3 linked regions of the Caenorhabditis elegans genome follow. The protein of the gene in region 2 purifies or fractionates together with the protein of the main gene of each other region. This does not show direct contact. Each region holds a gene or a part of one and is shown on either strand. Other genes may lie near its edges. The genes, in order: C02F12.8, C09D4.2 and Y54F10BM.3.

Region 1 (8,702 bases), on a different chromosome or scaffold from region 2:
GCGCCGGTGGAGGTGCAGGCCAAGCAGCGATTTCAGGATGGGATTGTCTTACGAAAGGTCGAGTCACACCTACGGCTGGTTCACTGGAAAAAGAAAACGTTAAGGGTAAGGAGGTATCAAGTATCACATTTCGCAAACGAAAAGGAAAATGAAACTCACTGAGTTCCATGGGGCCTTGGAGATCTGCTCATTCTTCTAGGTGATCGACTTCCTGATGGAGATGCGGATCGGAGACTTCCATCAAACTCTTCGGATAATATACCAAGCTGAAACAGGTTACTACTAAAAGTTCAAGAAAAACAGTTGATGTTGCTGAGAAACCATCAGTTAGACTTAAAGGTTGAGTAAAAATCCGTTCTGAAAAATTCTAAAAAATTGTTGGAAAAAATACCTATTTTCTCAGGTTTTACACACTTATCGGTATCGAAGCGGACATAATCTTATTGTTATATAATTACGACTTTTTGTACCACATTTTTGTATTTTTACGCGTTGATTCATCGAATTATGCACCATATTTTCAAGTTAAGAAAGATTAAAATTTCAGCTGAAACTGCGCCTTTTCTCCAAAACTTCGAACAACTATAACTTTTAATTTGAGAAATATTTCGAATTTTTCTTAGCGAAACTTGGATAGCTGTGCATATAAATAAAGGCAAACCTTTAGGCTTACAATGCAGTAGCATTTTTAAAGCACACAGATTGGCTTAGTTTGAAAGCCTAATCAAATTGAATTTACTCACTCTTTCTCGTAAGCGCTCTGACATTGAAAAGGGCTTTGACAGCCCTCTTTAGACTGATTATCTGTGGTTAAGTGATGACGTGGCGCTGAAAATAGTTGAATTAAGTTTTATGTCTAGAACTAGAAAAAGTAAACGAAAAAATAAATAAGAGAACAGTTATATAAAAATAAATTAGGGATTCCTTTATCAGAAAATACAAATTCAGTAAAACAAAAGGTATAGAAGCCTAGAGGTTCTCGATATAATAGACAAGGAGTGATTCAGAAAGAGAGATGTAGAAGTGACTGGACACTTCCGAACGAGCAACTGTTCAAGAGAAGAGACTAAGAGATCCGGATAGAAGAGCCAACTGTTGCGCCTTGTAGTCGACATGATACTACTCAACACCGGCGGTGGATATACGAATGGACGTTGTGCCACTCACCCGGGAGGGGGAGAAACATCGAGACTGCTATATCAGATAATGAGTACGCACACAGCAGTGCACATAGGATACGTTGACAAGACCCGATGAATGTGATGACGGTGAGCATAACGCTGCCGAAATGTGTACGGATTGATTGAAAAATAGATTAAGGGGGCTATCAATTTAGATTTATTGCTTTAATTTTTCAATTTGTTGTAAGCCATAAGGAAAAAATGAGCAAAAGTTGTATCCTCTTCGATAGCGTTTTTTTTTTTCAAAAGATTTCGTCAGCCTAATTTCAAAACATACAGATTGGATAAAATGTTTCAATTTCAAAAATATTTCGTAGACAAAAATAGCTATATTTAACTTCTTCATCTAGTTTCACTTAAGCACGATCTCTTTTGATTTTTTGATTTTGATTTTGATTTTGGGAATTAAATGTTTGAGGTAATAATAAATAATCAACAAAATAATAATGTCCGTCTGTCCAGTTTGCCTAATTTGTTTGTGAAGTCAAAAACGCGTCTCTTGAGTTATTCAACCCTTTCTAAACTTGAATTTAAAATTGGTAGAAGTTTGAAACTGGTTAGAGCCTCTGAAAAGATGAAGAAATACAAGACTAGACATTTTTATTCTAAAAATCTCAATACATAAATTGATTTACCCATAAAGTCAATAAATTAAAATTGAAGACAATGACACGTAATTAAATGGACTGAAAAATACAACTGAATGGTCATGGTTAATCACAGTTAAAACATCTGATCACTGGGTACAATGTGTACAAACAATAACGGAATCTAGAAAAGGTTGAAGAAAATTTCTTCGTAATACTCTAATTTGTCAGTAGAATCGCTGGTGAGACCGGCCAAAAAGCATAGTTCCGGAAGAATAGCTGGCGGCAAGTTCAGCTGAAGTTGCTCGTAGATTGTAATACGCGAGAGACTTTGCGGACGTTGAACCTGTAAATAGTCAGTTTGAGACACTTAAAAGTACCAAAATTCATTAAAACTCACCATTTTGAATGCCAAAATGCGTTTTTCAATAAACTGTAACACTTTGTTCATTTCATTCGAATTTTCTTCCCAAGTTTTCACAAAAGTATCCACCGTTTCATAGAATTTTTGATATGAGAAATTTTCGTGAAAAATTGGACGACCCGATTCTGAAATCTTCTTTGCTCTGTTAGCAATTGCCATTTGAACTGCATGCAGGATTTGGGGACTGATCAACGATGGCGGTGGATTCGAGACGGGTCTTTTTCCTCGCTTCTTTTCTGAAATTGAAAATATTAGTACCAAATGGCGATGATGAATCTCACTTTGGTCTTTCTGTCCTGAGCTTGAGTAGTCACCACCAGCTTGCTCCACATGCTTCTGTCTTTCTCGATATGCTGCTTCCAGTACATCGTCATCAGTTTCCAATTGATTTGCCTTCTGTGCAGCCATAAGGCGCTTTTCTTTTTTTGTCAACTTTTTCCTGGCGTCGGGTAGAGCAATAGTTGATGCTTCTTTGCTATCCTCGTCAATGGTGGAAGCGGCCAAAGTCTGCTGACATTTTTGCAATGGTTTTTCGACTTTTGACAATGGCAGCGGGTAGACGAGTTTTTGTGTTTTCTGTGGTACAAAACTGAAAATTACAGAATTTATCATTTTAGCAGTAATATCAAAAAATCACCATTTCTTCCTGCCCGTCGCCTCCTGCCATGATTCCAAAACGTCATCCGACGTATCCAGATACTTAATGATTTCAGATATTGACGTATCCCTGTCATCATCAACAATCAACGAGTCAGTCGTCATTTCAGATACAGGTTCAGATTTGATTTCAACTACGCTCATGTTATCCGAGTGTTCCAAAGTTTCCGGCTCAATCAGTGTTTTCGAAAGATCAAGGTTCTCCATTATATCATCAACATCATCTAATGGTGGCATTTCAGACATTGTACTGCTATAAGGTTCTGGCTCATTTGCAACACTTTCCGTGTCTACTGAATCCAAGTCGCAATCTTGCTGACCAACAGGCGTCAACGTTCCATAATCTTCGTCTTCCGATTCTTCCCTGACACTATCAGTCATGGGTGATAACGAACCATTTCCAACACTAGATCCATTGATGGGCGGTCTGCTGGACATAGATATGTCGCTCTGAAAAAACCATTTTGTAATATAGCATTATAAATTAGTCAAGTGCTGCGTGAGTGTGTTCAAGTTTAAACATTTGATCATTATCACTTTCAGGAACATTTAATGATAGTTGTCATAAATTTAGGAGTGTGTCTGATATTCATGGTCAGACAAGAAGCGGGTTACTAAAATGGTTTTAGATGCAAACCAGTTAATCTCCCAACTTTTAAATTTTTCATATAACTTCCCTAAAAGCGGTCATGTTCAAATTTTCAAATTCTGGCATACCCAAGCAGCAGTTAAGTTGTTTTTGTTGTAGTCGATAATATTGTTTATTACCTGTCCGGAAGAAAACGATTGTGATGAGCATACTGATGATCCCGATTGTGACATGGAAACGACGCATACAGGTGCGCTGACAACTCGACAATATGCAACTCCATTGTTATCATAAATAATGTCTGGGAATCCTTCGTTGGCAGGTGGACCAGAATATTGACTGTAAGACGGTGATGGAAAGATGGGAGACGAGAATCCATATCCAGAAGGTGGCTTTGAAGTATCAATTTGAGGTGGTGACATTGAATACGATCCTTGCGAAACCATTACAGCTCCGACTGGCATCATGGTTGGTGGAGCTGGCACAAATTGGGGAGGATTGTAATTCTGGGAACCAACAGGCACGTGTGGATGCATAGGCTGGTTTACAATCTGTGGGTGTGCAAATCCTGAATTCGACGCTGCCAAATCCATAGTGTATGGAGGAACAGGTTGCGGAAAGACGTTTGGATTTGATGCAAACTGTGCCGGAGGTGGCATGTAATTACCATGTTGAGCAAATGGGTGTACCTGAAAATTGCAATTGTTTCAAAGTTTTAAAGAAATTCTTATGGCCTTGGGGTTTTTAAACAGTGAAAAACTACATTTCTAAAAATTAAAACTTGTTTACTCCTCTCGATTGAAAAAAAAACCGATTTTTTCCATTAAATCAACGAGTTTCTAAAATCATTAAAAGTTTAATTGTCAGCTTTTAGTTTCGCCGTTCGCTTAATTTTTATTGCAATCTAGTATTCCCATTTCAAAAAATTATCAACGAAATAAGCTTTCAAATTGCCTGAGATTGGAAATTCTCAATATCTCATGAACAAACTTTTCAAATTGAAAAACAAACCTTAAATGAAGCATCCAACGTGCTCACCAAATTGTTCTGATATCCGCAATTTTGATAAGGATTTGGGCACTGATTATTTTGGACGGGAGCGGCGAACTGTTGCTGCATGAGATCATCAACGTCTTTTGAGTTCAACAGAACCTCATTCTCAAAATTCCACAGCGCAATAGGATCATTTGATTCAAAAGCTCTTTGAACGATTTCCCCGTAACTTGGATCCAGACGATGAAGATTATTGTAGGAAAAGAGAATCTGTAAAAAATTATTATATATAAGAATATACAAACGCTCTAAACATTATGTACCTTCTCCAATTGATTTCTTCTTTGAACACTATTCCTGAGAAAGTCCTCATGTACTTCACTCGAGTGTCCTTCGGTTTTCCAGCGAGATCTATCGTTTTGCATAGCTTCTGAACAAAGTTAACATGAAAATTTGTCAGAGTTTAAAACAACTGATAGGTGCAATATTGAGAGCCTGTTAATAATTGAAAATTTAAATTGTAGGAAAAACCGAATAAAAAAAACATATAATTTAGTGCTTACAACATTCAGTTTTACTATTTATTTTATGAGTAAAATTATAACGAATAGAAGCTGGCGGTGTCACATTTCAAAACTAGATCAAAAGATTTGCTGAATTAAAATAAAAAAGAGAAATGTTATAGCTATTTGTTTGTTTTTAACCTACTCTTGTTACCGCAAAAAAACATTGTGAGCATTTTACACAAAATTATATAATTTTTGAATTTCCTTTGCTAGTAATTGTTGGGAAAAATCAAAACAAATTCTTGAAGCTAGATTGCATTCCAAGTAACATGGTTAGTTCAAAACATAGAATTTTATGAGAAATTCAAACTTTGAAAGAATCATGCATCGCGTTGGGGCTCTCGAAAAATAATGTCTAGGTATCTAGATAGCTAGATTCATATCATAGCTATAGATTTAATTTTTGCTTGTAACTACAATTGTGGAAAAATGGGAATATAAGAGTACCATTGAAAAAAATAGCACAATGTATAAATTGCACGGTTGGCATGCAAAATTTTGGTTGGAAATTCAATGAGTAGAGCTAAAAAAGTTTTAGTTTTGCCCAAGGATAAAAAAAAGGAAACCTGACTCAATTTCTGTCAGTGGAATTTCTAATTTGGTTAGTGCATTCTGATTTGGTCAGTGCAATTACTAATTTGGTCAGTGCTTTTCGACTTTGGTCAGTGCTTTTCTATTTTGGTCAGTGCTTTTCTATTTTGGTCAGTGCTTTTCTATTTTGGTCAGTGCATAATTTTAATTTCTAACCTATTATCTGATTGAAAAAAAATTAGGAGGAACGAAGTTGAAAACTGAGGTGAACAAATGAAAGTGAAAAGACGCGCACGCAGGTGGTGGTGCTTAGTGTTTATCGTCACCCACAACAATAACTGGGTGGGTAATATGGTGAGGAAGAGGACTCGTTGGACAGGGCAAAGGGCCCCTCGGCGGATGCCACGCACGCAGCACACAAAACCCCCCTACATTCGTTCGCGCGCACACTCATAGAACACTCACACACACGCACACACACGCTCACATATAGCCAACTGCACCCCCACGTCAACAAAACACAAACACACAAACACGCACACACATGCGCTCACACGACGACACGGCATCCAGAGGCACTAGCGCAGTTAATTTTTGACGCTCTAGACTAACAATGGGACTCTTTTAACTCAATGAACATATGACAAATGTTCACGGATTCTCGTGTGATTGCGCACGAAACAGAGCGTTACGGTGGGCGCAAGGCCGTTACGGAAAATGGTAATGACGGTCATAGGTCCAATTATTATACATATGTGATAGTAAAATGTAAACAAAAACTAGCATGTTCGCAGTAAGTTTCAGAATGTAGAGAAGAAAACAGAAATCTATGTGGAAATATAATCTAGCAATCATCCTGGAACTTATCAAATGCTTTCAATGTACGACAGGTGCTAAAAAATGTAAAAATGTAGCAGAAATTTCACAGAAAAGGTAAACTAAAATCATAAAAGAACTCGCACCCCCAATTTCGCAAGAATAATTGTAAAAAAAAACAGAAGGGAGGTCATGGATATTTTTAGTGCAGCGCGAGTAGATCAAAAAATTTTAATAAAAATTGCATCACAATTTTAATATTTATAATTGCTTTAAATGATAGAAAATGGGCTGTAAGGACAGATTACGACTGTAAAAAAATTATAAACTTTTTCTAAATTTTTTATGATTTCGGCCGAATTAAATTTAAATTTCTGCGCAAATGAGTGACGTCATTTTTTATACTTTCGCGTTCTCTCGCTTTCTTCGCCGTTTTTTTTTTTAATATTTTTTCTTCTATATCTTCTATATTTGATTGAAAATTTGATAACACAAAATACTTTTGCGGAAATTTCAAACTTTGCCCAAAAATCGACAGTGGAGTTTTTCAAAGATTTTGTTTTGGGGAAAAATATTTGAAAAAAATGGCGAACAGAGTTTTGAAAGTAATTTAGTAGAAAAAATCTAGAAAACCGAAAGAATTTAGCCAGACAACGCAAAAATATCGAAAATAGCGTCACTCATTTGCATGGGAAGTCAAATTTAATTCGGCCGATTCTTTGATTTTTGAAAATAGAAAAATATTTTAAAAAAATCATGAGAAATCTAAATAAATTTTCTACACTTTTTACAGATATATTCGATCATTACAATCCATTTTCTATCATATAAAGCGAATTTTTATTTATTTATTTGACTCTACTCCACCTTTTAGTTTGAAAATTGCTAAAAATTTACATCAATTTGCAACAAATCTCGAGAAAACAAGTTTCGAAAATTTTTCGAGAGGTCTCATACGGATTAGAAGCAAAAACTACACCAAGTTTTTTTCCAGAAACTAACATCTACTGCTATTTTAAAAATTGATACTTCACACTCTTGACATAATGAGCGATTAATTTGAATTATGAATTCATTGAACTTTTTGTTCTGCTTGAACGTCAGAATGTACTTTCTATGGCAACCTTTTTATGCGTTCGGGGCAAAATAATCAAAGAGTAGATTTACAAGTATTTCATAACAACAAACGTAGTAAGTTTCTTGAAAATTCTGTTTGGTAGCAGAAAACGTATGTACCAGTTCAAAAAAAAACGGATGGAGAGAAAACGCCTGATTCAACGATTCACTTTTCATGTGATAATCATCGATCTATTTCCCTTTCCACTATTGTCGCTTTTGTGTTCAAAAAAAAATTCCACGATAAAGTGCTGTTGAATTTATGATTGTCACGAGAATAAACTAACAAATTTCTAATTGAAAACAGGAAAAAAACCAGGCAAGCTTGAAAATCTTATAAAAAATATGCCTGAACATGCAAATAGAAGAAGAAAAGGAAGTTTTCCAGAGCGATTGAAATGAAAGTGAAATCAATAAAAAAGTGGAAATATTCTTGAGGAACAAAAAAAACTGTCTCGATCATGAAACACATCGGCAAACTGGATAGAATGGAAATTAATAAAGGAAAAATTTTCGATGATATAATCTATATTTATTATATATTTGTTATCCATTGGCTTGAAAGAAGAATCTTTGAATTAGTTTCACAAAAAAAGACAAAATAAAAATTCTGATCAGTCAGAATTTGTACAAAAAGTATAGTTTTGAGGATTAGTAGAGCATTCATAAAAGCAAATTCAACATGAATTGTTTAAAAGTGGATTACCGAAATCTGAGACTTTGCTTTTTTAGACCCAAAACTGCCAAATGTTTTTTAAATGTTTTTTGGTTTTGTTTTTTTGAATATGTTTTTGACGAATGAGACGAATTTTTTTTTTGAGAAGTAAATTTCTATTAAAAAACAGTGCTTAATAAAAAGTAAAACCTATTACCTTTTCTAAGGAAAAAAAACCCTAAATTCCAAATATAGCAAGCTATAAACTTCGCAATCAACCATGCACAAACATTCCAAACTAAACCGCAACTGCGAAGCAAACTGTCAAATGGACGCAAATATAAGAGCATACGAAAAAGTGTTGGCCTCAAAGATAGTTCATATAGTTCATTGATCGAAAGTATCTTGCCTCATATCATTCCCATATCATTCCGGAAATGAGACGCGCTGCCGGATCCCACATTCGAAGTAATCGTCAGAAACTTGCTCTCTTGCAAAGAACCACTCTTGAAGATCGAAGAATTGCTCCATCCTTGAAGTAGCCGCTGAGTTCTATAACAAGAAGTACTTTCCAAGAAGCTCGAAAA
Region 2 (7,453 bases):
TTAAGTAAAGTTTTTGGAGCGAAATTTGAAGAAGATTATTGACGTTACATATAAAAGAAAAATATTAAAAAAACCCCGTTTTAGTTAGTTTTTGTTGAATATGCAATTCCGCAGTTTCGGACGAAAACCTTGCAGCCAAAACAAAAATTTCAGCGTAGCTACAGGTATCAAAAGTCTTTTGTAACTTCCTGTTCGTAAATATTTTGTTCTTCTTCTGCGAAAAGTTCGTTAGAATGCCTCATTTCTACCACTTTTTATGATAACTTGGTTGGGTGCTATAATTACTGTAGAAATTTCCGTAATAAGCTCGATAAAATTGATTATTTTCTGATTTTGATAGGTTTACCCACTGCAAACACTGTTTTTCTACACAAAAAAAGATTCTTATCTTCTTGGCGCCATTTCAGGCGCACTTAGATACCTAACTCAAAATAGATGAAGTTGTAACTTGGTTCCTTTATTTTCACAATTGCAGTAAAAGAAAGCTAAATGAATCTACCGAAAAAAAACCACAAAATAACAAAAAACTGCGAGATGAGAGGGGAAAATTCGGAAAGAGAATGAGAGCAACAAATTTTAATTGGCCTCTTTGAGGTGTGATATTGAAACAACATTTGGGGAAGAAAACGGACCTTTGAGACAGCTGTTCAAATTATTTTTTGAATGAATGAAAAAAGAAATCTCATGGACAAAAAGATTGGCAAGAAAATATCAAAAGAGAGAAAATAGATATCATCAATGAAAGTGGAATAAGATTGATTGCAAAGAGCAAATCACAAGGGTTATGGAGGAGTGGAACAAGAACATTTCTTTACGACAGGGCACAGAACACATCTAACTACCGTAGTCTGTACAAAAGAGAACTGTGTTGCTATAATTAATTGTCACCCTGTAGTAAGTTATGACTCATATATTAGTATATGCTTCAATTAAGTTTCGCTAGGTGGCAAAAAAAAAGAAGAAAAAAATCAACTTCAGAGGCTCAGATCCGTTTGTATTTTACAGGAAATTGTTGTGTCGAGACCGGGTATCTTTTTTTTTGAGGCAAAAATTTCAGAATTCCGCGTCTAAGTAATATGAAAACAAACAATGATTGAAAATTAATATTTATCGAAGAAAAAGAAAATAATTTTACAATAAAATACAATAGTTTTCATAAATCCTGATGACCAATGATGACACGCAAATCCTCAGCACAACCCAACAGCGAACAAGCTAACTTCCCAGCGAATAATTTCCAGAGGATGGAGTCATACATGCAGTTTGGATAGAGATCGTCAATCTTTGTTGCCGATAGAACTGCTTTGAAAGCATCGGAAAAGATATGAAATGTTGTTTTTAACTATGAAAATCCAATTCACACAAACCTTCCCATCAGATTCTGGACAGTCGTCACCATGCTTTACAAGTACCGACATGTGATCATACATCCTCTTCAAGGTCTCAATTTCCTCAATATCCCTTTTGCTACAGTCTTTTTTTAAAATAAAAGTTTTAAAAAAATTTCACACATTTTTCATCTTGTCAATATCCGTCGCAAACGTGGCAAATAAAATAATATCACCCCAGTTTATCTACTGAATCCTGTGTCACTCTGGATATATTGTTCCCGTTGAGTACATTGTCACCCAAAACTTGATCATCTCAAAATAAAGTCTATCAGAATCATCTCCAGTAGAAGAAATGAAAAACCACTATTGGGAGTGTAGATGGGCGATGAAATAAGCGAATGCAGACGAACGAGAAGCTTCGTCTCTGAAAATCAAGCAAAGAGCAAAACCAAAAAACATAACTTTTTCTGTTTGATTTGACATAACAGTTTGCACCAAACTGTTACAACATAACATATTTGTTTAATTTCAGATTGGCATTCTAAAACATCCAAGCTTGAAAGTAAGAACTCTTAAATGAATTAATTCCACTTCGAAATCCATGCATCCGGAAAGAATTTTCTCCTTCTTGTCCAAGTCCAACTGAATAAATAAAATTGGAATTTTCGTGTTACCAGAAACAATTTTACCTTTGTGAATGCCACACATACTCCTGCAATGTGCTCTGCGCCGGGAATCGGAAGAGAAAAACAGACTGGTGGGGGGTTTCTCACTGAAAATTATTAACAATTGTTTTTTTATGTGAAACAAAAGTTCTGTGAAATTTATATTTAAATAGCAAAAAATTAGCAGAGTTAGAAATTCGCGAGTTTGAAAGTTGGATTAGTAGTTTCAACTCGCTTTTTCTGAATTCCTTTTGTGGGATATCTGAATTTGAGAATTATTTAAACATATTCATATGGAACCCATTTGACCGCGTATTCCATCTTAAAGTTCTTTACATACAAGATATTTCTTCACTGAAATAATGTCCATCAACTCCAATCGACAAATCCAAGCCAATGGAAACTGGGTTATAGGTTGCATTGACACAAACTGAATTAAAAGTATTGGAAAATTAAGAAAACAAAATTTAAGGAAAACTATTACCTGAATGTCTGAATTCTGGAACAGAAATTTCTAGGCAGCAAGCACAATTTCCGTGTACACAAGCACATCCGTTCTCGTTTGATGAACCAGTTCTCAGAGACAGTTCTGGAAAGGTTTATTACAATTTTAATTAGCCTTTATGTATTTTTTTTTTCTCATTCCGAATTTCAGTTTTTTAAAGTTTTGTTTTGGCTTGCTGGCTTGAGGCTGCTTGAGCAATTGTCTTTGTTAACAACGTAAAACAGAATACAATTTTCAAAACCTTTTCAACAGACCTTTCCGAACAACTTGCTTCGAAGTGGATACTTTCATTTTGTATGAATCCGTGTGCACAGTCATATGAGTTGTATTTCTATTACCCAAGGAAACTATTATTTCATCTGAAAATTAAAATTTTTAGAAAACAAGAGGATTGCTGCTAGTCAGTAAGAGTTTGGCAAATTGCCAAATTTTCGATAAACTCGGTTTTTTTTTCGGAAATTTTGAACGTTCTTGCACTATTTTTCTTAACAAAAAATATTTCTTAACTTGATTAAAATATAAAAGTCGTAGAAAACATTTTGCCTATTTGGTAGAAGAATTTTTTTTTGATTTCAGAACTTTTTCAGATAAATTTTTTGGAACATTCGAATATTCCAAAATTATAACAGTTGAGAACTGAATCAATACCATTTTTAAATGTTATTAAAAATATCAAACCAGTTTCGCAAAGTTTTACTGTGAAAATTTATCATTTTAGAATCATAGGAGTCATACCATAGGGCGCTAATCCACTTTTAAATTTCAAAAAACTTACTCTGATTAGCTCCATCGTCTCCCAATTTAAAAATGATTTTGTCAATTTTTTCCGATAATCGGAGTCTTCCATTCAATTTCGATGAGTTTCCATTAAATTTCACATATTTCGAAACAATATCCCATTTTTTGTTGAGAATATCGATTGAATTAATATTTTTGTTGAAATCTTTCACAGAAAAATCCACAATATTTTGATTATTCTCAACTGCTGAGGTGGAAATTAACGGTAGGATAAGCAGAAGAAAAACAGAAAGAAAGAGGTGCATTTTGGAAAAGAAATGAAGATTTGGACGAATGAAAAGGGAGAAGGTCAGTTGACTCTGTTACACAACCAGATGTTCTCCCAATAAATAAATCAAAGATAACATCTGCGGATATGTTTTTTTTGACAACTGGCTAGAATGATGAGCTTGAATCGATGGTAAAGATTGATGCGGTAAACATAAATTACAATAATTTGTTTATTAATTTCCTTGAATAAATAGGTTTCCAATGCTGAAAGGTGGAGTACGACATGTTGTAAAATTATTAAGATCCACGCAATCGAAATATCCAGCAGTGCTTTAAAATCCTTGAAAAGTTTGGAAAAACTTAATTTTTGCCCCTGTTTTACTCGAAAAAAAATATCAGAAAAGAAACTTCGGTACAAATTCAATTTGTTCAGAAGAGTACAGTGCCAATCTGCTATGAGATATCCATTCATTCTGGGATTTCCAGACATTTTCAAACTTGTTAACCAAAAAATCAGTATAATAATTGGATTAAGCATATCAAATTACATCTATAACTATAATTTCATTTTAAAATTTCAATAATTGAGAAAATAAGAAAAAAGTTGGAAAAGTGACATGCTATATTCTTGCCTTCAAGGCCGGATTCCTCTACCACAATTTTAAAGAATATTAATTCAGATTGAAAGTTGGAAAACTTGGTTCACGCTTCACTCAAGTGTAATCAAAGTTTGATCCAACTTTCCGTCAACATATCACTTCTAGAAGATTCCAGGAGACTATGTTTTGCCAAAGTTTGGCTCAGGTTTAACCACTTCTAATCCAAGTTAATATTCAATTTGCCAAACTTGGGAAAGAAACTAACGCCGTGATAGTTGGAACTTACAATAAGATGTAAAATACTTTTAAAAAAATACATTTATTTACACAGCACAAAAATCTAGTAGTATAGTTGAAACCAAACGACGACGATGATGATAATGAATACAAAAAGAGGCAATCGGTTCTTTACTTTGGATTGGAAAAGAGTGAGAGAAAGAGGAAATTGAACTGGAAAGTGCTCGATTCGATTCGAGATTTGATGAGAAGAGTAGTGATGAAGAACAGTTGTGAGACGAGTATATGCCTATTGGTCTGAAAAATGTATATTTTGATATAGAAAATAAAAACAATAAAACATACTCTCACAGGCACGATCAGTGTAGTTAGTAGCTCCTTGTTCAGCCATAATTGCCATATCAGACATGACAGAAGCTGTTTCGGTGAGCTCCGAATGTTGAGATTCTTCCACTTGCCAGTCCCACTTGCAACGATCAGGAATCATATTTTCCATACGAATCTGGAAAAGTAAAGAACATATTATTGTTTAATTGTAAGGAATATGGAACGTTAGGTACTATCTAATTTATTAGAAAGGTGATTAGTAAAGTGCTTGGATCTAACTAAAAATATCCATCTAGACTAATTTTAGTTACCTCATTAATCAATGCCTTCAAATGTCTGTACTCTGGTCTGATTTCGAATGAGTATCCATCGATCATATCCATGATCGTCTCAAACTGTCTTGGAGTTCGATTGAAGAACAAACGACGAGATTCATTTCGAATTGAGAGCTTCGATTGTCCAACAAGTGTACGATCAGACATATGACGCCATGGCAACTCTCCAACCAACATCTCAATGAGCATGTAGAACCAGCATTCAACATCATCACGTCTTCCAAGATCCATACGTTTGTGTGCTTGGAGACTTCCATATCTTACAGTACCTCTCCATCCAACCTCTCCACGAGACTTCAGCTTCTTGTTATCACGATCAATAAACTTCTTCGCAAGTCCAAAGTCAAACATGAAAATTGTCTTATGCTGTCCATTGTCGCGTTGTCCTGGAGCAAAGTTGCTTGGCTTGACATCACGGCTCAGGTATCCAATATTGTGAAGCTCTTCAATAGCTTCAATAGTTTCAAGAGCAATCTTTGTAGTCGTATTGAGAGTGAATGAACGAGTCGGTTGTTCGGCACGAAGACGGTAGAGATCTTTTCCAAGAATACTGATTATCATGTAGTTGTATTCACGACGGATGGTTCCCTAAAGTTTGATACGTTTTTTTGATTTTGTAATCCAAAATCCAAAATCCATGAATTCATAGTCTATGATATAACTTACATAATCAATGATATCACAGAAATGAACTCCATTGTGGCGTCTGATACTCAACAAAACCTTAATTTCCATTGGAAGCATCCCTGTTGAATACTTTTCGGCTTTGATTGCAACACTTCTGAAATAGTTCATTTTTCATAGAGATTCAATTCAGAGGAGCTAATTTTCAGAAAGTTTATTATTGGTTTGTTCTGAAATTTAATGAAGTGAGTAAACTAGAAAATGATCTACAATTCTGGAAAAGTAATAGGACATTTATTTGAGATGTACGCATAATGCCTCAAAGGGCATTATGAACCCATGGTACGATGTGGTAGTTTTCAGAAAACCACATAAATTTTGCGTGGAATAGTTCGCGTGACGCACTTCTTTTAAAGTTGCCGCGATTTGGAAAGAGCAAAAAACCAAATAAGCTACAAACCTGCCACCAAAAATGCTCAGAAAAACATGTCCCATTGCACCATCGCCCAGCTTCTGACGCAAAATGAAACGATCTCCTTTATCATTTTCAAAATATTCTCCAACCGTCGGAAGACGATCCTTTCTCTCCGGCTTATCCTTAATCGCCGGTCCACGATGACGTGGCTCGGGAGCTGGAAGCTGATGAGCAGCGATGTGCTCCATTGCGACAGACTCTTGAGCCACCACGAGATTTGCTTTAGAGCGTTTGTGGTTCAACTGAAATGATTTGATATTCTAAAGATGAAGAGAGATCGGAAGCTTGATCGTACATTTTCCTCGGCAACCAATGTTGGAGTGTTGGGAATTTGAACCATGTCGGTTTGATCCAACGCTGAAAATAAGTATTTGAAGAATTGATTAGAAAATGTCCAATGTAAATCTATAGACTATTTTGAATGCTTTAAAGTACAATTCATATTTACAATAGTCCAATATCCGCATCTCAAAAGTTCTAGAAGATTCCAGGAGATTTCTAAAACGTAAATCTCCAGCTGAAAATGACTTACCAGTCGCCATGATGATCACAGTAGAACTTTAATCCTTCGAAAACTGAGTGTGATAAATTCAGTATTGATTTTTTTTCCTAATCTTCAAAGTTCATCTGCCCAAAAAAATTCCAACAAGTGTGACACGGGGGCGGGTCACAAACAAAAACGTGAGATGTTATTATTTTAAGTCTTCTAGAATTCATTCTCCGTTACCGAGAAAACAATTTTTGACGTTGTTGTTTGCATTGATTCTCTTCTGAAAATAATGGGACAAAAGTGGAGTGGAACAGTTTCGGTAAGAATTTTAATATTGGAAATGTTCATTTTATTGTTCTGTTTCAGAAAACACCATCGAATCCAACTGTCTCTGTATGTGTTTTGTTTCAGAAAAATATCTAAAAAACTCAATTTTTGTTCAGAAATCTTCGTCGGCACCATCTTTAAAATCAACGCCGAAATCGGATAGAGAAGACCAAGAAAAGTCTAAGGTAAATCCTCTTCCCCTCAATAGTGGCCGAGTTTTCATTTTCACGGTCACTAATGAACCTTTGCCTAATGTTGCCACGTAACAGAAGTTCAATGAAGTTTTTTTAATCAAAATTTTGATAATGGCATGCTTCCGAAATACTTTTAATTTTCAGAACATGAAGCCATCGTCGTCGAGCAGTAATAGTCACCGGGCAGACCCTCCGAAGCCTAAAGAAGATGTAGGTTCTTATTTTACTGTGATTCACTAGTAGGATACGCTATATATGTTTCAAAATGTTTCGTGTATGCTCCTTTAAGATTACTGTAGGAAATTTCCAGGAAATTTCCAGTTACTTATTTTAAAA
Region 3 (8,164 bases), on a different chromosome or scaffold from region 2:
AGCAAAAATACTTGTTCCCGATAAGCCAATGACTCCAAAACCTAGTAAACGTGTAATATCGTTAAAACAAAATTGACCTCTACGGGGATCAAACCTTCGGCCTATTTTCTACCAACCACACCTGTTACCGGCTGAGCCAATCATTTTTCGAAAAAAAGTCGAGTTCTCAGTTTCAAACTCTTATAACTTCGTCAGTTTGAAAGCTATCAAAAAGTTTTCAACTAACAAAATGTGTAAAATTATACGGGCTACAATTTTACAGTTAACAACTTTTTTATAGCTCTTCTAGTTTTTGAGTTAAGAAAGATCTAAGAAAATAGGGTTTTTCAAGTCTAACCTGGAAAATATCTTCCACACTTCTGAACTCCATTCTCCATAATCTGACAGCACATCACCACATAAGTAGCTCTCGTGTCCCAAACCATTCGCCAAAAAGATTCCCGTGTATCCGGATGTCCTTTCTCCTTATCGTCAAACGGCGCCTGACAAATGATCGCTTTTCCAATATACTCTTTTCCAGGGGCTGTTACGGTTGAGGCATGGATGAAATGGGTGTCATCAACTAAGTACGATGTTGAATCCCATGCTTGAACTTTTGGGTCTCTGGAAAAAAAAACGTTGAAAAATTTGAAAAATAATAAAAAAATTTGCAGAATTTTTTTTTCAACTTTTTGAAGAGTTTTTTGGTTTCTACTAATTTGTGCAATAATTTAAGTTTATCACGTCATACCCTTTCAAATGACCCCCCCCCAAAAACTGGCTTTGACGCACAAAAAATGTATAAATTTCAAAAAAAAAAAAATGTAGAATTTTTCTTATTTTGGAAGTTTAATAAAATTGGTCTCAAAAAATTAAAATATTAAAAAAAAAGTTTTTTAAATTTTTTTTAGAACTTCAAAATTTTCAGAAAGTATCTGTTTTCTTTAAATTTTATCTAAAAACTTGAATTTAGCACGTTGAGACCTTCAAAATGACCCCCATCATGCCTAACTTCCGCCCATTTTGGGTCTCACCACGAAAACTACAGTACCCCAGGTTGGGTTTCGTGGCGGGACCCAAAGCGGTCGCATGATGGGTGTCATTTGAAAGCTAATGAGCAGCTGAATCTAATTTTCGAATTAAAAACTCTAAATTCCTCAGCCGAAAAAAAATTTTGCCGAAAAATCACCTGCAAAGCTTGGGGTTTCCTGCGCTCATCGCTGTCAGCTCAATCGGAATTTCAAATTCTGGCTGACACCATTCGAACCAATTTGCGATTACAGTTTTCGACGGATCGCGTTCTTTTCCCGGTATGATAGAGCACATCGACGGGCTATAGCTCATTTTGGTGAACAGCTTTTTGAATTCTTTACGTGTGATGTTGAGAGCTGAAATTTGTGTAGGTTACTGTAGGTTACTGTAATTGGAATTTTGAATTTGAATGAAAATTGGACTGTTTGGCTTGAAAGTAGAAAAAAAAACAAAATTTCAAAATTTCCAAAAAAAATTAATTTCGAAAAAAAAATTTTTTTTCAAAATTTTTGTTTCAAAAACTTTTAAAATTTTCTACGAAACCGATTTGAACGTTTCAGATTAAAAATTGCAAATTCTTGGGTCCCACCACGAAAACCAGAGTACTCCCGGCGGCATTTTCGTGGCGGGACCCAAAATGTGCGGAACCTAGTCATGATGGGTTTTATTTTAAAGGTCTCAATGTGATTATTTTGAATTTGTTAATTATTTCTCAGTTGGTGCAAAAAAAGTCTAAAAATTTAGAAAAAAATTAAAAAAAAAAAAATTTTTTTTTGAGATTTTTGGAAAACATAAAAAATTTTTACAATTTTTTGCTCATTTTTTAATTCAGCGTGTCAAGACTTTCCATTTAACACCCATATTGACTAAGCTCCGTCCACTTTGAAAACTTGGGGACCCAAAACAGGCGAAACCTAGTCATGATGGGTGTTATTTGAAAGCTCTAGGCGTGCTAAATCTGAAAATTCACGCCAAATCGGTTTTGAATTGAAAGTTAGCTCGAGCTTTCAAGAAAATAAAAATTTAAAAAAAAATTTCAAATTTTCAAATTTTATTTTCAAAACTACATAACTCTGCGAATTTTAAAGATATTCGATTGAATATAGTCTTAAAATGAGCGCAATCTTTTTGTGAGTTTAATGTTTAATTTAATAACTTGCAATGTTTAAAGTAAAATTTCTTAAAACCTGATTTTAAAACCATACCTGACTTGCCGTGCCATCCATCTTCCAGCTGATAATCCTGCTCATCCAATGCATTTTCCGTCTTTGGGTCCGAATCTTTATCAATATCAGGGCCCGTTTGTCTTTCCACCCACACTTCATTTTCTCGAAGCTCATTTTGTGGCTTTTTGAATTTCTGAAAAAACAAATTTTTTTACAAAAAAAATTTTCAAAAAAAAATTTTTTTTTCGAAAACCCATAACTTTGTTCATTTTCAAGATTTTTCCTTGATTTTTGACACGTAAATTTTCAAATTTTTTCGGAAAAATCTCTACCTCTTTATTTTTCACGATCACATCCTCCATCGGCAGCAGCTCGACTCCACCCCGTTTCAGCGTCACCTCCTTTACATGTTTCAGCCATTTGGCTGATTCTCTCGGTCTTTTTGCAGGATCCACACCTCCAGCGTTTCGATTTTTCGAAGCCGAAACTTCAGAAACTCGTGCCAGACGCCTTTCCCAAGCCTTTTCCCTTGCCATTTTCTCGTCGCGCCATTGTTGAACTTTCCAGTAGCAATATGCTCCAAATGCTCCAACAAACGCAGATTCCAGGAAAAGTACAACAAGCCAGCTGAAAAATTACAGAAAATTTGCGAAATTATCGATTTTCTTTCGAAATTATCGATTTTTTTCGCGAAATTATCGACTTTTTCGTGAAATTATTGATTTTTTCGCAAGAAAATCGATAATTTCGCGAAATTATCGATTTTTTTCGCGAAATTATCGATTTTCTTGCAAAATTATCGATTTTCTTGCAAAATTATCGATTTTCTTGCGAAATTATCGATTTTCTTGCGAAATTATCGATTTTCTTGCGAAATTATCGATTTTTTCGCGAAATTATCGATTTTCTTGCGAAATTATTGATTTTCTTGCGAAATTATCGATTTTTTTGCGAAATTACTGATTTTCGATAAAAGAAATGACGCAAGTTATCGATTTTTTGAACAAAAAATCAATAAAAATTATTGATTTTTCTTCAAAAATCCGACCAAAAAAATCAATAAAATCAACATAGATTATCGATTTTTCGAAAAAAAAAAACCAATTTTTCGCCGCCGAGCAATTATCGATGTCAAATTTTCACAACTTACACTTCGATTGGAATTAGGTCGAGAATGTCGGTCAGCGAATTAAACTGTTCAGCAGGTGGTGGTTTGGTTGAGGATCTGAAAAAGAGCGGTCATCGGGATAAACTAACGGGACAACGGATAGACTTACACTGGTGGAGTTGTTGAGGTCGGCGGGGCGGGTGTAGGCCAATCGACGAAACCTGGAAAAAATCAATAAATTTTTGTTGAAAAATCGATAATTTCGCGAATAATCGATAAATTATCAAAAATCGATAATTTCGCAATCGCAATGGCCACGTGGCTTTTTTTTACCGTCCTCTCCACGTCATTTTCAAAAAGAAATAAATAACAAACTCCACGTGTTCATCGAAAATATCAAAAATCGATAATTTCGCGAAAAAATCGATAATTTATCGAAAATCAGTAATTACGCAAAAAATCGATAATTTTTTAAAAATCGATAATTTTTTAAAAATCGATAATTTTTTAAAAATCGATAATTTTTTAAAAATCGATAATTTCCTGGAAAATCAATAATTTCGGGAAAAAAATCGATAATTTCGCGAAAAAATCGATAATTTCGCAAGAAAATCTGCCTCTTCCTATATTAAATCCTGAAATTGCATTCTTGACAGAAATAAAAAATAAGGGCAACTTTTCGACACGTGAGAAAATCGATAATTTCGCAAGAAAATCAATAATTTCGCGAAAAATCGATAATTTGGCAAGAAAATCAATAATTTCGCCAAAAATCGATAATTTCGCAAGAAAATCGATATTTTCGCAAGAAAATCGATAATTTCGCCAGAAAATCAATAATTCCGCGAAAAATCGATAATTTCGCGAAAAAATCGATAATTTCCCGAAAATCAATATTTCGCGAAAAAATCAATATTTCGCGAAAAATCGGTAATTTCGCCAGAAAATCGATAATTTCCCGAAAATCAATATTTCCCGAAAAAATCGATAATTTCGCGAAAAAATCGATAATTTCGCAAGAAAATCGATAATTTAGCAAGAAAATCGATATTTCCGCCAGAAAATCGATAATTTCTCAAGAAAATCGATAATTTCCCGAAAAATCCGATAATTTTGTAGAATCGAACCGTATCTTGGCGTCAAACCCCCGTACTTACTTAGCTCATATGGTTCCACGTGGCAGATGCCAAAAATCGATATGGTCACCAATAAAATCGACCACAATTTCATCTTGAATATTGTGAAATAAATTTTTCAATATCGATTTATCGACTTTCGAAAATCAAACGACGTGGTTCCCGACGTGGAATGTTTTTTGGCAATTTTTGAGTTTTTACGTTTTTATTCAATTTTTTAAAAATTTTGTAACTTTTTTAGTTTTTGAGATATTTTGTTCATTTTTGGCTTAAAATGTGCGAAAACTACCCACGTAAAAGATAAAATAAAAATTTTAGAAATTCCGGTAAAAACTACAGTACCCCACAACTTTTCGTGACGAGACCCAAAAAAAAATCAAAAAAAATCAGAAAATCACAAAAATTTATTGTGCGTCGTAGAAAAAAATCATGTCATTTCATAAATCAATAATATCGATTTATTTGTCGTTTGGCGGAGCCGCAAAGCAGTTTGGCGGGAACAGTGAAAACGAGTGGAATGCACTGCAAATCGAGTCTCGCCACGTGGATTCGTGGTGCTCCGCTTTGAAAAATTGCTGAATTCTGTGGATTCTTCTGGAAAAAATTAAAATTTTTGGTTTTAGAAGTTATTTTTGGATTCAGCGTGATTGATTACCCTTATCTATAGGTTTTCAGAGCTCTAGCTCAAAATCTCAAAATTTTGAAATTTGGCTGAGTAGCGACTCAGAACTGCGATACGGAGTCATAGTTTTGAAAAACTAACATTATCATTAAATTTGCCATACTTGGAAACCCAGAATCCTAAATTTTTAGCCATTTGCACTAAAACTGACCAAACTCCGTATCGCAATGGGTCGCTACTCAGCCAATTCTTGAAAATTGAGCTAGAAGGCCCAAAATTTTGGGATAGGGGTAATCAATGACGCTGAATTCAATAAAATTAAAGAAAACATTTAAAACTTGAGATTTCGACCAAAAAAATCGATAATTTGGCGGAATTATTATTTTTAAACAAGTTTTTTTCAAAAAAATTTTTTTTTTAATTTTTCCAAAATTTCAAAAACCTTTCTATTAGCAAAAAATCAATGAACTTACTCAATTTTTGTCTCATTTTTCCTCAAAACTTGATAATCCTCAGCACTCAGGTCATCCGAGTGTACAGAGTTCAACGATGCACCATAATTGATAGGTAGAGTCAGAATTTCAGAAATTTGAATAAAAAATATCAAAAATAATAAGGTTACTGTAGTTTTTCGCATGTTTTTTTGAACTTTTACATAGAGAAAGTGTAAAAAGTTTTTAGGGAAAAACTTGAAAAATCAAGTTTTTAAATACTTTTCTCACAGTCAGCGGGGGGTGGAATTCGTCATAAGACATGATGACGTCATAGGATCAATTTTGATATCTTTTATCAGTTTTTATCAGTTGCTACACGTGAGAAACAATGAAAAATTCCATTGTTTTGATGTTTGGCAAATCTGAATTCGCTGAATTCTTAGTGTACCTGAAAAGGGGTAGAGGGATACATTTTGCACCTAAGCAATGGGTGCAGATTTTTTAAAATCAATTTTAATATAGCGAAAAACTTCAACAAAATCAGTAAAATTAATTTAAGTTTGAAAAAAAAAATTTTGAAAATTTTTTTCCAATTTTTCAAAAAAAAAAACAAAAATTTTTTGGGTCTCTACACGGAAAGTTATGGGGTACTGTAGTTTTACGGGTTCTTGTAAATTCCTATGTTATATTTTATGGAAAAATATTGAGGGTACTATTTAAAACTAATCTAGGCTCAGAATCTTGAAAATTGGCAAAGTTATGGAGTTTTGAAAAAATTGAAAAAAAAATTTTTTCAAAATTTTTTGGGTCCCGCCTTAAAAAGTCTTTTGGTACTGTAGTTTTATGAGTTGCTATGAATTACTGTACTAGATTTTAAAGAAAATCATTTAGAGCGCTATTCAAAATAAATTTGAGCTCAAAATCTTAAAAATTGACAAAGTTATGGAGTTTTGAAAAAAAATCAAAAAAAAATTTTTGTTAAATTTTTGGATCCCGCCACGAAAAGTGTTGTGGTACTGTAGTTTTATAAATTGTTTTAAATTTTATTGTCAGATTTCATAGAAAAATATTTAGAGCTTTAATAAAAATAAATTTGAGTCAAAAATCTTGAAAATTGACAAAGTTATAAAGTTTTGAAAAACAAATATTTTTTCGAAAAAATTTTTGGGTCTTCTCACGAAAAGCATTGGGGTACTGTAGTTTTACGGGTTTTTGTTAACTACAATATTACATTGTATAGGAAAACATTTTGGGCACTATTCAAAACAAATTTGAGCCAAAAATCTTGAGAATTGACAAAGTTATAAAATTTTTAAAAAAGTTCCAAAAATTTTTTTTCCAAATTTTTCAAAAAAAAATTTTTTTACGTTTCCGGATTTACTTTTTTGTAGTTTATGTCCCAAAATGTGTACTTAAATTGAATTTTGATCAATTTATTTTCGTCTTTTCCACCTCCCATTTTCAGCAAACTGGCTACTGAAAACCGGTTTTTTTGGCTTGAAATTGTTGACATCTCACCAGTATATAAAAATTCAACTCGGCAAGTAGAAAAAAATTTAAAAAAAAATGATTTTTTCCCTACTTTTCAAGATTTTTGCTATATTTTCTATAATATGCTCTACTGTAATAGGAATTCCACCTCCTCCTCCACGCCCACCTCATCAGATTTTTGGAGGCATTTGGAGCCCCGAAGAAGGACCATTTGGAGCTATCAAGGACTCTTTGAAATAATTTAAAAATTCATTTTATTGATTTTTTGTTTAATTTTTTTTTCTTCAAAAATCTTGTTTTGAATTTGTTTATAAAGTATTGAATTTCAATCCAATAAAAAAATCACAAAAAAAAATACAGGAATTTTCGTGGCGGGACCCAAAATTATCAAAAAATATCAAGTTTTTATTTACACCCAGATCAATGAAAACAATAATAACATTGAAAATAAATTACTTGAAGGTATTGAATTATTGATTAATATTTCCTCACAGTTTGTTGAATTAATAGCATTGTCAGCGCATCTGGAAAAAAATAGGAAAAATGAGGGTCCTGTCACGAAAACTCATGGGGTACTGTAGTTATTGAACTTTTCTGAAAAATAAAAAATTCATTCTAATGAACCCTATTTTAGTCACATTTGAGTAAAAAACCAACTGAAAATCTGAAAAATTGAGAAAGTTATAACGTTTTGAAATTTTTGCGAAAAAAAAATGTCGGCCTTAAAATTAAATTTTGGGTCCCGCCGCGAAAACTCATGGGGTACTGTAGTTTTAGTACTTTTCTTAAACAATATTTTATTCACATTAGAGTGAAAAATCAACTCGAAAATTTGAAAATTGAAAAAGTTATGATATGTTGAAATTTTCGCGAAAATAAATTTTTGGCCTTAAAAGTAAAATTAGGGTCCCACCGCGAAAACTCATGGGGTACTGTAGTTTTCGAACTTTTCTGAACAGTGGTAAATTTATTCTAATGAACCTTATTTCAGTCACATTTGTGTAAAAAATCAACTCAAAAACTAAAAAATTGAAAAAGTTATTTTTTGAAATTTTCGCGAAAATAAATTTTTGGCCTTAAAGGTGGAGTAGCGTCAGTGGGGAAATTGCTTTAAAACATGCCTATGGTACCACAATGACCAAATATCATGATAAAAAAATTCAAAAAAATTTTCTAAATTTTATATGATTTTTTGA

What was found.
Region 1: the proteins of C09D4.2 (region 2) and C02F12.8 fractionate together in Caenorhabditis elegans (co-fractionation; one large-scale study listed by BioGRID). This does not show direct contact.
Region 3: the proteins of C09D4.2 (region 2) and Y54F10BM.3 fractionate together in Caenorhabditis elegans (co-fractionation; one large-scale study listed by BioGRID). This does not show direct contact.

What each region holds. Positions count from the first base shown.
Region 1 is NC_003284.9:3,688,378-3,697,079, forward strand, and holds C02F12.8 (uncharacterized protein), read right to left. Parts: upstream 4,862-8,702; 5' UTR 4,857-4,861; coding exon 4,755-4,856; intron 4,702-4,754; coding exon 4,450-4,701; intron 4,128-4,449; coding exon 3,618-4,127; intron 3,300-3,617; coding exon 2,830-3,299; intron 2,782-2,829; coding exon 2,474-2,781; intron 2,429-2,473; coding exon 2,169-2,428; intron 2,115-2,168; coding exon 1,953-2,114; 3' UTR 1,766-1,952; downstream 1-1,765. Other genes in the region: Putative protein tag-278, read right to left, coding at 1-83, 160-266, 744-767; C01C4.3 (Protein kinase domain-containing protein), read left to right, coding at 8,553-8,653.
Region 2 is NC_003279.8:5,487,591-5,495,043, reverse strand, and holds C09D4.2 (DUF4773 domain-containing protein), read right to left. Parts: upstream 3,621-7,453; 5' UTR 3,545-3,620; coding exon 3,277-3,544; intron 2,861-3,276; coding exon 2,756-2,860; intron 2,586-2,755; coding exon 2,481-2,585; intron 2,427-2,480; coding exon 2,337-2,426; intron 2,104-2,336; coding exon 2,021-2,103; intron 1,974-2,020; coding exon 1,860-1,973; 3' UTR 1,781-1,859; downstream 1-1,780. Other genes in the region: C09D4.3 (Protein kinase domain-containing protein), read right to left, coding at 4,635-4,642, 4,691-4,847, 4,984-5,595, 5,674-5,788, 6,092-6,348, 6,402-6,463, 6,639-6,648; C09D4.9 (Protein AF-9), read left to right, coding at 6,886-6,915, 6,963-6,989, 7,040-7,108, 7,262-7,327.
Region 3 is NC_003281.10:2,278,437-2,286,600, reverse strand, and holds the start of Y54F10BM.3 (Tyrosine-protein phosphatase domain-containing protein), read right to left. Parts: upstream 4,577-8,164; 5' UTR 4,516-4,576; coding exon 4,443-4,515; intron 3,507-4,442; coding exon 3,455-3,506; intron 3,403-3,454; coding exon 3,328-3,402; intron 2,805-3,327; coding exon 2,510-2,804; intron 2,371-2,509; coding exon 2,217-2,370; intron 1,368-2,216; coding exon 1,169-1,367; intron 604-1,168; coding exon 338-603; intron 1-337. Other genes in the region: Y54F10BM.22 (Neuropeptide-Like Protein), read right to left, coding at 4,880-5,015, 5,517-5,680; Y54F10BM.23 (uncharacterized protein), read left to right, coding at 7,044-7,208; Y54F10BM.21 (uncharacterized protein), read right to left, coding at 7,378-7,492.